Linked DNA regions of Arabidopsis thaliana. The protein of the gene in region 2 interacts with the protein of the main gene of each other region in a biochemical or structural test. Each region holds a gene or a part of one and is shown on either strand. Other genes may lie near its edges. The genes, in order: APG7, ATG8F and NBR1.

What was found.
Region 1: the proteins of ATG8F (region 2) and APG7 form a complex in vitro, tested with the Arabidopsis thaliana proteins (one study listed by BioGRID).
Region 3: the proteins of ATG8F (region 2) and NBR1 form a complex in vitro, tested with the Arabidopsis thaliana proteins (one study listed by BioGRID).

The regions. Positions count from the first base shown.
Region 1 is NC_003076.8:18,613,434-18,617,188, reverse strand, and holds the start of APG7 (ThiF family protein), read right to left. Parts: upstream 2,015-3,755; 5' UTR 1,886-2,014; coding exon 1,747-1,885; intron 1,467-1,746; coding exon 1,255-1,466; intron 1,171-1,254; coding exon 924-1,170; intron 834-923; coding exon 739-833; intron 660-738; coding exon 367-659; intron 284-366; coding exon 139-283; intron 53-138; coding exon 1-52. Other genes in the region: SAG12 (senescence-associated gene 12), read right to left, coding at 2,430-2,755, 2,903-3,163, 3,436-3,755.
Region 2 is NC_003075.7:9,306,939-9,310,693, forward strand, and holds the start of ATG8F (Ubiquitin-like superfamily protein), read right to left. Parts: upstream 1,601-3,755; 5' UTR 1,408-1,600; exon of another isoform or gene 1,187-1,407; 5' UTR 1,176-1,186; coding exon 1,139-1,175; intron 1,045-1,138; coding exon 989-1,044; exon of another isoform or gene 552-988; coding exon of another isoform or gene 459-551; coding exon 406-458; intron 315-405; coding exon 196-314; intron 45-195; coding exon 1-44. UniProt on the Arabidopsis thaliana protein: Ubiquitin-like modifier involved in autophagosomes formation. May mediate the delivery of the autophagosomes to the vacuole via the microtubule cytoskeleton.
Region 3 is NC_003075.7:12,739,368-12,743,122, reverse strand, and holds the start of NBR1 (ubiquitin-associated (UBA)/TS-N domain-containing protein / octicosapeptide/Phox/Bemp1 (PB1) domain-containing protein), read right to left. Parts: upstream 2,092-3,755; 5' UTR 1,933-2,091; coding exon 1,900-1,932; intron 1,542-1,899; coding exon 652-1,541; intron 563-651; coding exon 439-562; intron 336-438; coding exon 78-335; intron 1-77. Other genes in the region: MOS1 (modifier of snc1), read right to left, coding at 3,386-3,755. UniProt on the Arabidopsis thaliana protein: Autophagic substrate degraded in the vacuole by non-selective autophagy. Requires ATG8 protein expression to be recognized as an autophagic substrate. Acts probably as a receptor for autophagosomal degradation of ubiquitinated proteins.

The DNA.
Region 1 (3,755 bases), on a different chromosome or scaffold from region 2:
ACATGGCAACTTTTCCATAGTCAACAAAGGTGATATTGCGGATTCCCCAACCCTAAGAAAATAAAAGATAAACGAGTTCTTAGTTAATCAGTGAGTTTGTAAAATAATGTCAAATCTCGCATTTTCTTCAATACGTACCATAAGGGTACGAGCAACTTGGCAACCCAATGTACCAGCTCCAAGAAGAAGGCATTTGACAGAGGACAATACATTTAAGTTAAGAGACGGTAATGCTCGCCATCTCATTAACTTTAAGTTTAAATCGACAGCAGAAACAGCCAACCTGCGAAAGAACGTGATTCCGTTTGTCTAATCAGATTTTACCCATTTAGTTGAGTAGATCATTGACACAGAGCAAAAATGTACCTTGTTGGATCCATGGAATTAGCAAGGCTAATGGATCGGGGTACACGTTTCCCTTTGTTAAGCTCCCATCCCACTGAGTTAGGTACAGTCTCAGCTGATTCACCTGATGAAAGTGTAATTGAGGCTTGACCAACAAGAGAAAGGTTCAAGTCAGCGAAACCACGACTCTCTCTGTAGCAGAAGAACCAAACTGTCTCGAGGTTCCATCTTGAGCGAATCAGTGCCAAGTAGTTTCGAAGTGGCCAGCCAGGATTACTAGGAAGGTGACACGGGTCATAGAAACCGAAAAGCAACTGCAGGAAGAGAGACACATAAAGGTGAATTTTGTTTTTTCTGTATCTAACGCATATGGAAGAGTTAGTTAACACATACCTTTTGATGATCACCTTGGCACGCTTCCAAGTCTTTAAGATGTCTGATACTAGCTTTTGAATCAGAAGAAACCGAAACCAAAAAGAATGGAACATCTACAGCAAAACACGGAGAAGTAACAAAAGGTTTTCAGCTACCACTCCTTGAATTTTAATAGTAAAAAATAGAACAAGAATGTTGAGTACCAGTAGTTAAATCTGAGTCGCGCCAATCATTACAAGCAGCGGATACTGATTCAGCCTCTTCAGAACTAAAATACTCTGAAGCTGGCTTTAATTCAATCAAACTTACAGGAGGATCAAGTACAAACGCAGGGAACGCAAACCAATACCGAAAACTCCATTTCTTAAGGTCTGCAAAGGAGATAACGAGGAATCTTGGTAACACAGAAGGGTCTTCAAGAGCTTTTCCTGATTGAATATCCTCCCAAATCTAAAATTCACCAACAAAATTGTTAAAACTTCTGCAGACAAGAACCAGTAAAAACCAAGTCACGGAGCTAAGTTTTGTATTTACCTTATTTGCTTCTGCTTTTAGCAGACTTTGTTTGTCAAGTTTATTGAAGCTTTCAACGGTATTGGTGTTATACAAAATCCCAGGAACAGGACACTTATTCCTATTTCCATGACTAGTACTAGCAATCAATGATTGTTCATCTAAAGGCAATGACTCTGATAAAAGAGTCAAATGATTTGAGACTTGTGGATGTCCACATGGTCCATAGAAACCTGAAAATTTCAGTTCCAAAAAAGCACATAAATTCTAAATCTGAATAATCTCTACTAAACAAAACAGAGGCTTTTAAAGTTCTCAACTTTTTTTTTGCTTCTCTAACCTAAACGGATCATAACAACTTGCCCAGAAAACAGAGGATTTTCAAGTTTTCAACTTTTTTTTTTGCTTCTCTAACCTAAACGGATCATAAGAGCTCGAATGCATAGACTCATCGAATAATATATAAAAATCGATGCATTGGATGATTTTTTAATTCGATGATTGTGTGTTTACCGGTGATTGAAATCGGAGAATCATCGATTCCGAGTTTGTCGAGTTTCAAAGAGGAGAAGCTATGCCAGAAACCTTCGTCGACGGAACTGTTCAATGGAGCGAATTGAAGTATGATTGCTGGAGTTTCTTTCTCAGCCATGGCTGATCTTATCTTTCTGAGAGATTGCAATGTTTATTATGGAGGAGAGTCAATGAATGTGAGAAAGAAGAAGACGATGACGGAGAACGGTGAGAAAAAGGAGTCGTGCAAGGAACATGGTCAATCCGGGTCGGGTCGGCTTTATATCCAAGCAAACCAAAACCGGTTTATTTTAAAAAAGTAAAAAGCATTAACCGGACGGTTCGTCTTTTTCCATAAAAATCAAACTGAACCAAATTCGGTTTATTACAGTCTTCTCAGTAAATGGTTAAGAGTTTTCAAACTTCATTTTTTTAACAAATTTTCATTTTTACTTGGTGGAATTTGATTGTGCATATGCTTCAAATTATCCCTAGCTAATACCGTTGAAATTTGAAAGAAACATTTCGAAAATTATCAATCCTTTGCATTACATAAGCTTACAATTTCATAAAATGCATACAACAGTCTAAATACAATTTTTTTACATAAAACAATTCAAATTATTTTTAGACATCAATCCCACACAAACATACACAATTAAAAGCTTAACACGGTTTTGAATTCATATAGTTGGGTAAGAAGCTTTCATGGCAAGACCACATAGTCCTTGTTTATCCTTGACATCTTTTTGAATCCTCATATATCCACTTTCTCCCCATTTTGTTCCCCATGAATTCTTGATGATCCAATACTTTGATCCGTTAGTAGATTCGCCGTATCCAATCGCAGTTACTGCATGATCAAGATACGTAGTGCACTCTCCAGTGAACACACCAGACGAATAGAATTGGAAATCAAAACCACCTCCTTCAATTCCAACGCTAACCGGTTGGTGTGCCACTGCCTTCATCAGTGCTTGCTCATCATTAACCGGGACATCCTCATAACCTATGATATGTGAACGTACATGAGCTTTTTAAGATTCAAAATATGAATTTTATCTAGTATAGTAATGTTTATTAATTTGGATAATATGATTAAAAATCGGTTTAATCTGTTTAATTATTATATGCCAGCTCTTTAACTAAAGTGAACCTGTAATAGAAGTTGCTTTTGGATTGGTCTTTTTGGAATTGCAAGTAGCGTCTTCGCCTTTGTAAGGATAATTTGACTCAGTTGTCAAGCCGCCAGTCGCTTTTATATGCTCAAACGCAGTATCCATTAAACCGCCTTCGCAGCCAAAATCGTTTGTGTCGCAATCAACAAGCTGTTGTTCTGACAAAGATATAAGTTTCCCTTTCTTTATTTGTGTTGCTCCTTCAATAGCCGCAACCGCTGAAAACGCCCAACAACATCCTACAAAAACATCACTCATTAGTGTCACTATCATAAATATTTTCATGTGTCTAACTACATATCTCAATAAAACGGTATGAAACAAAATATATATAACTTAACATAGAAAAATTTAATAAAAATATGGTTATTCGATTCGGTCAGTTACACTATGGATTTGGTTTGGATCGGTTTGTTCACTATGAATTAACTCAAATTGATTGAATACATAAATTTCGGTTGGTTCAATTTGATTTCACTTATATATATATGAATAAAGATTTGAGTTATACCGCAGCTGCCTTGATTCTTGATAGGGGTCACAGCTCCTTTCTTCCTCCAGTCAACAGAAACCGGCAAAGCACCAGAAGAAACGTTTTGGTACCTAAACGGCGACATTTTAGTTTGGCTTTGGCTAGATAATGCCGAGACACCTTTGAAACCAGTGTACATGGAACGAAATTCGTCATTGGTTAAATCAGCAAACTGATTTACCGCAAGTTTGAAAGTTCTTCCGGCAGGAATGCTATTTAAATGTTCAATGCGTTCGACGTTGTTTTTGAACACAACGTAGCGATTGTTTTCCTCCTTCACATCCGCGTAGACACGGCCG
Region 2 (3,755 bases):
ATCATCATCCTTTTTCTCTTCGTACACAGAAGACATGAGCGCACCTGCAAAGTTACCAGATCAGATCAGCCAAATATAAAGAATTTATAATCACCGGGGAACATATAAGTAGACGCCTTCTTATGCTCTTGTTACTTGTGTTAAAAGATAATGAAACTCCTGAGTCTTGAATACAGAGGAGATCTATCTGTTTACCTGCTGGAGGAAGAACATTGTCCACGAATATGAAGATAGCCTTTTCTGCACTCAATTTGATTCTTTTGCGAATGACATACACAAACTGCCCCACAGTCAGATCAGCCGGGACTAGGTACCTGCAAATTTGAAAAAAGCTTAGTTATCAATCACTATTATTAACAAGTCAGGTCCGAATGAAAAGGATACTGATGCCATTTATATGCTTACTTTTTCTTGTCGATGGTTGGTATATCACTCTTCTCAGCCTTCTCAACAATCACCTGGATCCCACAAAAATATAAATGCGTGGAAATCATCATCTCAAGTGTCATTTTTACCATGTGAATCATAAAGCACGTAGCCACATGAATCATGCAAATCTACTTATCTAAGCCGTAAGTACTCAGTAAGAATCGAGTTTCAGAAAGTCACGTTCCAAAAAATGACAACTAAATTCAAAGTCCTAATGTTGTTATAGTCACTATAACTCAATCAACTCCATGTAGTTGAAACAGTGGCAAACATATATCACAAGCATGAAGCTAATCAAACAATAATAACTTGATAACCATCCTTTAGTCGGGTAGGGTGTCCATTTAAAACCAGATGCTATCCCAATAAGTTCATTATATCCCAATAAGTTCATTACTACCATATTGCTGGGCCATAAACCACAACAACTTAACCTGCATAAACTCAGTCAAACACAAAAGATTGATCCGAACATAGAAAGGGAAACAATATGCTAATCACATATAACTTTAGAAATGTATGATCGATCAATGTATAAGAGAGACACTGAAAGTCTCACCGGAATCCTATCAGGATACTTCTCTCTAATCCTAGCAGCCTCTGCCCTTCTCTTCTCTGAAGATTTAGGAAACAGGATCATTAGATCAAAGCACAAGGTTTTGATTTCGAGGACCAAACAGTAAAGCAAGAACAAAGCTCAAATCCAAACCTAAGTCATGCTCTTGCTTGAACGAGCTTTTTGCCATTCCTTCCACGCCTACACACACATAACAAATAGGTGACACCAATCAGACAACCATCAAAACAAATTTAACACTCAAATCAAATCATCAATTCCCAAACTCTGGAACTCAGATTATCAAAATTCCCACAAATCTATCAGTCGATCATGTTAAAGACCCAACCTTTAAGTAATCTAAACGAAAGTACAGGATCGCAATCAAACCAAAAAAGAAGTTAAGAACTCAGTGATCAAACCTGTAGACTACAAAGAACGAAGCTTTTCTGCGATCAAACACTTCTCCAGAGCACAACGCTATCGTTGAAGATAACAACAACAATTAACGAAAAAATATGAAAGAAAAAGCAAATAAGCAACCTACAAAAATTCTGCAAAACATTAAAAAATTATGCGATAAGGTCAGAGATTCTCTACAGATGGTGTATGGTAACATCTAAACACTTCAGCTGACGTTGTATGCTTAATCTGTTCAGTGAGAATCTGACGGTAGATATTAGCTATTTACTGAAATAGGAATCTCAACCGTCCATTTTACTGAAGGTGTACGAGGTAACTGTCTACGTAGATATTGCCTCCAACAAAGGATAAAGAAGAACCGGATATGCTGGGATCACGTTTCTGCATACGATATGACACGTTTACCCCTAGAAAATGTGTGTTAGGTGAAGAGTTCGGAAGGGTAATAGTTGGAAATTGAGAATGTCGCTTATAAGCTTTGCCTCTTCTAACAAAATGTAGGGCCTAGTGCAGTAATGGGCCTTGCAAATAAACGGATGGAAATATGAAAACTAATAAATAAAGTATAGGCAGAAGTTTTTTTATGACTGTTATAGAGATCTGGAGATGTAGGTCTTGGTGTATGGACAGCTTAGGATTTCAAGCTTAGGCATTTCGAAATCAAGGGTTGAAAGCAATTACTGTATTTGAGAATATATCTTCAACACTGCACAAAACTCATTTTGTAATTTATTAAAATACCGGAATTGAGTGATTAATGTCAAAACCGAGAATTTACAGGATAACAAAGATAATTAATCAAAATGAATCTTTTATCAAAGTAAGATAAGTTTTCTAACAAGTTTTTTACTTATAGATATAAAATATTATAGTTGTGAAAAGACATAAACATTTTTAAAAGTTAAGATTGAGTTTTCTGAAGTTGAAAAAAAAATCAAAATTATTTTTTAATCATTATCCAAAATCATTACTTAATCCAAACCGATGCCCACCCTAATTATTTAACTATATTAATAAGGTTTGTAAGCAATAGTATATAAAAAGCTAAAAAAAATATAAGGGTATCTCACTACGTATGACACTTATCAAGTTTGTTAGAGCATATGGGGCACATATGTGGGAGTATGCACTTTTTCATGTTTATTTCACTGCACTTTTTCATGTTTATTTCACTGTTTCAAAACAATCAATACAATTATATCCTTACTCTCGTAACCTCAGGTCAAATAGCATGGTTAAGAAATGCCTTTGACGAATGATTTAGCTGTGCAGCAATATATAGTACTTTGAACTGCTCTAATGGGAGTGGATTGTGGATTTTCCTTTCTTCTGTTTCTTAATCTTGACATTAGATTTCCACTCCACCCCATCTTCGTCTAGTACCTTATAAGTCGTTCCAGCAATGTAGAAGGTGACTTTCTTCTCTTCAAGGTACCTCACAAAACGTTTAGCAAACTCAATGGGTGTTGAATGGCTTTTGTACTTTGATAAAAGACTCACAGCAATCTCCTAGTTAGGCTTGAAAATCAAAGTCTTGACAACTCGTTATGCCTCATCAATCACTTTTCCTCTAGCCAAGCCGTCTAAATATGTCCCCATTATTTCAATAGTTGGTTCTATCCATAGAGTCTTGACTATCCTTGCAAGAAGATAATGCCCATACTCAGTTTGTCGAGCATGTGTACAAGTTACCATCACGTTCCAAAATGTTGAGTGAGTTTTGATCAAGGTGGAAGGAATGTTCTCAAAGACTTGGATTGCTTTGAAGCATTCACTATTTGTGCCTAAGGTTGATATAAATGCATTCCACATACCTATACATGTAGCTCCAGATTTACCGCATTCATGAAAGAGTTTTTCTGTTAAGAAGAGTTTCAAACTCCAACTCTTAAGATTGGAGAGATATATTAGTCACATGGTAACTTTGTTAAGGAAAACAAAAACTCAAATATTTTTAAAATTTGTTAATCAAATAATTTTAAAATTGATTTCTTGTATAAAAGTATTGTTTTTTTGTGTATTTTAAATTATATTTTTATTTTTATTAAGTTATTATGAATCAAATATTTAAGAATTAAATTGAATTTTGATTTATACTTATATTCCAATCTTGTATATAAGTTAGTCAGATTGAAATATATGGTCGAAAATTGGTAAAAAATAATATTCACCATTATTTTGGTCATTAAGTTTTGACCACTTTTTGGTAAGATGTTTTCGACCACTATTCTCGGTCAAAAATGTCAACCGATCAAAATATTTCTACCATTTTTATTGGTCTAAAATATTCGAAGCAAATGTTTAATTCAGTATAAACATGCAACCAACAATTTACAAATGGTCAAAG
Region 3 (3,755 bases), 3.4 Mb from region 2:
AATTCAAACAACATAATTGCTCTGTTAGTGGTAAGAATCGAGCTAAAAGAGTGAAAACTAAGGAAATTGTTTCTAACCTGTAAATCAACTGACAAGGAGTTGCAGAACCTGTCCCCACCGATCCAGACAATCTGTGTGCCCTGTGGCCACACCAGCGAACCACTGTTCCTCATTTTCCAAATCTTAGTAAATGGGGCGGATGGAGCAACAACGGTTCCATCAATTACATTCACATCAAGGACAAACCGACTGTCTAGTTTAGGGCGAGTACACCTGAGAGGTGCACCTCCATTGGTTGCTCGTGGCACAGGGTGGCTCAACCAAGGATTAGGAAACTATACCAAAAAAAAAAGGGTAAGAATTCCTCATAGCTATCAGAGAAGACACATAGAATAAACAAGAAGAAAAGTAATTATAAACTTAGAAGAAGAGCAATACTTGGGTAAACGGTCCTCTAAAAGGATGCAGATGTTGAACGGATACAGGCTTATCCATTCTTGTGTAATCCCCCTCGTTACCCATCACCGAATAGCAGATGGTGCACAGATCATAGTCTTCTTTACTGCACAATATTCACAAGCGAAACATATAAGCACAATAAGTTCTAGCATGTTTATAGTTTCTAAAGTAGTAAGTAGAAGGCATCCTTACACTTTCGACTTAAATCTAGGCCCAGTAATTGGAAGAACTCCACATCCGTCACAACGGATGCCCTTATGGAATACACCCAATGAAGTCCAGTAATCACCATTGGTGCTCTTTTTGGAATGACAAACACGACGAGGATGCTTGTTGAGGTTAACTGGATTTGGACAGGAGTAATTCATGGTACTGCCACTAAAGGGACACTCGTTGAAATTAGCACCCAGTCCAGACGAGTTTGGTACATGACCAGAAGTCTTTGAATGAGCGCCAGTGGGTTCATTCAGATTAACAGGTTTCCTTCCGGTCTGGGTCCTCTCAGAGATATCCTTCTTTCCACCAGCGGAAGGAACATCCCTGCTCAGGGAAGCACCTGAAGAACCAGGCTTGGTAACAGGTGAGCAAGGACTACTTTCCTGAGGAATTGAGAGCTGCCCTAGCTTGGAAATGCAATCAAGCATCTCACCAACTACAGGACTAGAAGTTGAGGCCTTGGATGCAAGGTCCATGTACACCTTTGATATGGTATCACGCATCGGGTTAGGTACAGCCATCAGAACATCATTTATACCCTTCTGGATTTTGGAAACCGGGTTAGGCATACCCGCAGGTGTGGAACTCCCACTACTCTCTGGAGCAGCAGAGTTAGTGGACACGCCAGCGTTCACATTGATCTTTAAGAACTTAAGACGCTGATTAGTAACATCAAAGAGATCGTTGTCATCAACAAGGGCAACCACATCCCCATCCTCATCAGAGTAAGTCAGACTCAATTCAGCATCCGCAGAGAGGTTAAAGAGAGCAGCGATCTTTTCCTTAAGACCAGCCATTTCAAGATCAAGCTGTCCATTAGCTTTAACAGGCACCCTGAAACGCCTAAGCACACCTCCATAGCTCACCTACATAATCACAAACAAAATTAGTATCACTTCAATGAAAAAAATGAAAAAAAATTGTCGAAGAAATAGATTACGATTCTAATTACGATAACTTATAGTTTTAATCATTGTTCGGGTATAAGATTCAAGCAGATACTGCTAAGTATGTCTGGAAAATTTTCGAATTACACTTAAGATTATAATACAGAGACAGAGAGAGAGAGAGTCGATCCATAGCGAAATTCAAAAGGAAAGGACCGATTACAAGCAACAAAATCAACAGAAACGAGACGATCGCCACGAAAACCCAGAATCACCGACAATTACTGTGAGAAAACTGACGATTCGCAAATAAAGAAAGGAAGGTTGTATCTCTAACCTTGACGACGAGTGCGTTAGCAGTAGACTCCATCGGTAACGGAGATCAGATCAGCTGGAGAGAATTAAAAGGCAAGCGAGAAGAAACCCTAATTGAAGAAAAAGAGTATCTAGCGAGAAAAAGAGAGAATCGGGGAGAGATTTATCTTAGAAGAAGCGTACCCGTAATCCGCTTTTCTCGTAAACAACCAAGAATTTAGACGGTCGCGTTTTATACTATATATCATTACACAGAATATTTATTAAAATAATTAATTTAATGGGCCCTTTTGTTTATTTAATTAATTTCTGACTTAGCCAACAAGATTTTGACTTTTTTGGTTACTACTGGCTTATCCAGAAAGACAAATCAAACTAACATCCCTAAGTTAAAGCCAAAAATATCAAGAGATACGAGTACATATAACTAGATATTTTATTTTTCATACTAACATTTTGAAAATTGACCAATTCGAGTTCTTATAAAATACTACATCTTTTATGTTTTCTCCAATAAAATGATCAGATACTATTTTATTTTATTAAAACTTCAACTCTTATGCCGACCACAAAAAATAAAAAAACATTTTAAACTCTAATTTATGAAGTTTGAGAAACAAACACCACCAATTCCAAAATCCAAACTCTTAAAACTCTTATGTTTGCTACCTAACCTCATATAAATTTAGTAAATTTAATTAGATATTTTCTTATTATTACGTTTTGTGAATATAATTTATCATATGAACTTTTTCTGTACATTTTGGTGCGTTCTAATAACTTAGTAACATTGATATACAATTTTATAATATAATAGTCATTTGAGACATTCGACATTCGACATACAAAAAAAAAAATATGAGATTCTATATGGCTATATGCAAGTGAAAAGAATTAAAGTGTGACTTGAATTACTAGCATATCATGATGTGATTGTGTAGTTGATGACAAGAGAATATATGGAATAAATAATTGTTTGTACAATTAATTTAGACAAGTTTCAAAACGCATACATTGTATCAATATATCATATATTGTTTTTATATGTGATCATGACAATAAAATATTAGAATAATAGATATAAATATATATATTATACTAGAATTGATATTTCGAGTTATAGATAAATCTAATCATAAAATAAAAAAATTATATTAAATAGATAGGAATTTATCAAAATGAACATCAAAATCAACCAAAAAACATAATCATATTTTTTTAAGCAACTTTAAAAACAAAAATACTCATGAGTATTCATCTAGTGTATACAAAAGGCTACTACAGTAGTTATAATCATATTCAAACAAGTGACTGAAACATATAATAATAAACTCTCAAGACAAAGACTTTTTTTTTTTAATCTGCCAATACCTCCTCGGATAGGTCTCCTCTCAGCAATCTCCCAAGCTATGTGCCTACGAATTAGCTTCCTCAATCGCCATATCTCAAAATGCAAGTATCCTCAGCATGGCAGCTCTTACTACCTAAATAACAATAAGAGGCCAATCTTAGTTTCTATCACCAGTGAATCCATGACCACCGTTTCTCCCACTAGTACCCCTTTGCTGTTGGTATCCACCCTGCCTTTGCTGCCCCTGTCCCTTCTCTCTGTATCTTGGACCTTCTGTCTGAGAACTCTCTTTCGATTGTTCTCGACTACGTTCTCCATCATAAGTATGAGACCCAACAGGTTTGTATTCATAATGCAGATTTTGCTTCTGTCTATCTCTGTTTGAAGGTGGCCTCTGATGGTGATGGTGCATATTCTCTTGCGCCGGTAAACCCCAACCTCCTTGTGACTCCTGCCCTCTTCCAAACCGTCGACCCTGCCCTGTGTTCTTTTGGAACATACTATTCGGATTTTGCTCAACCTGGACC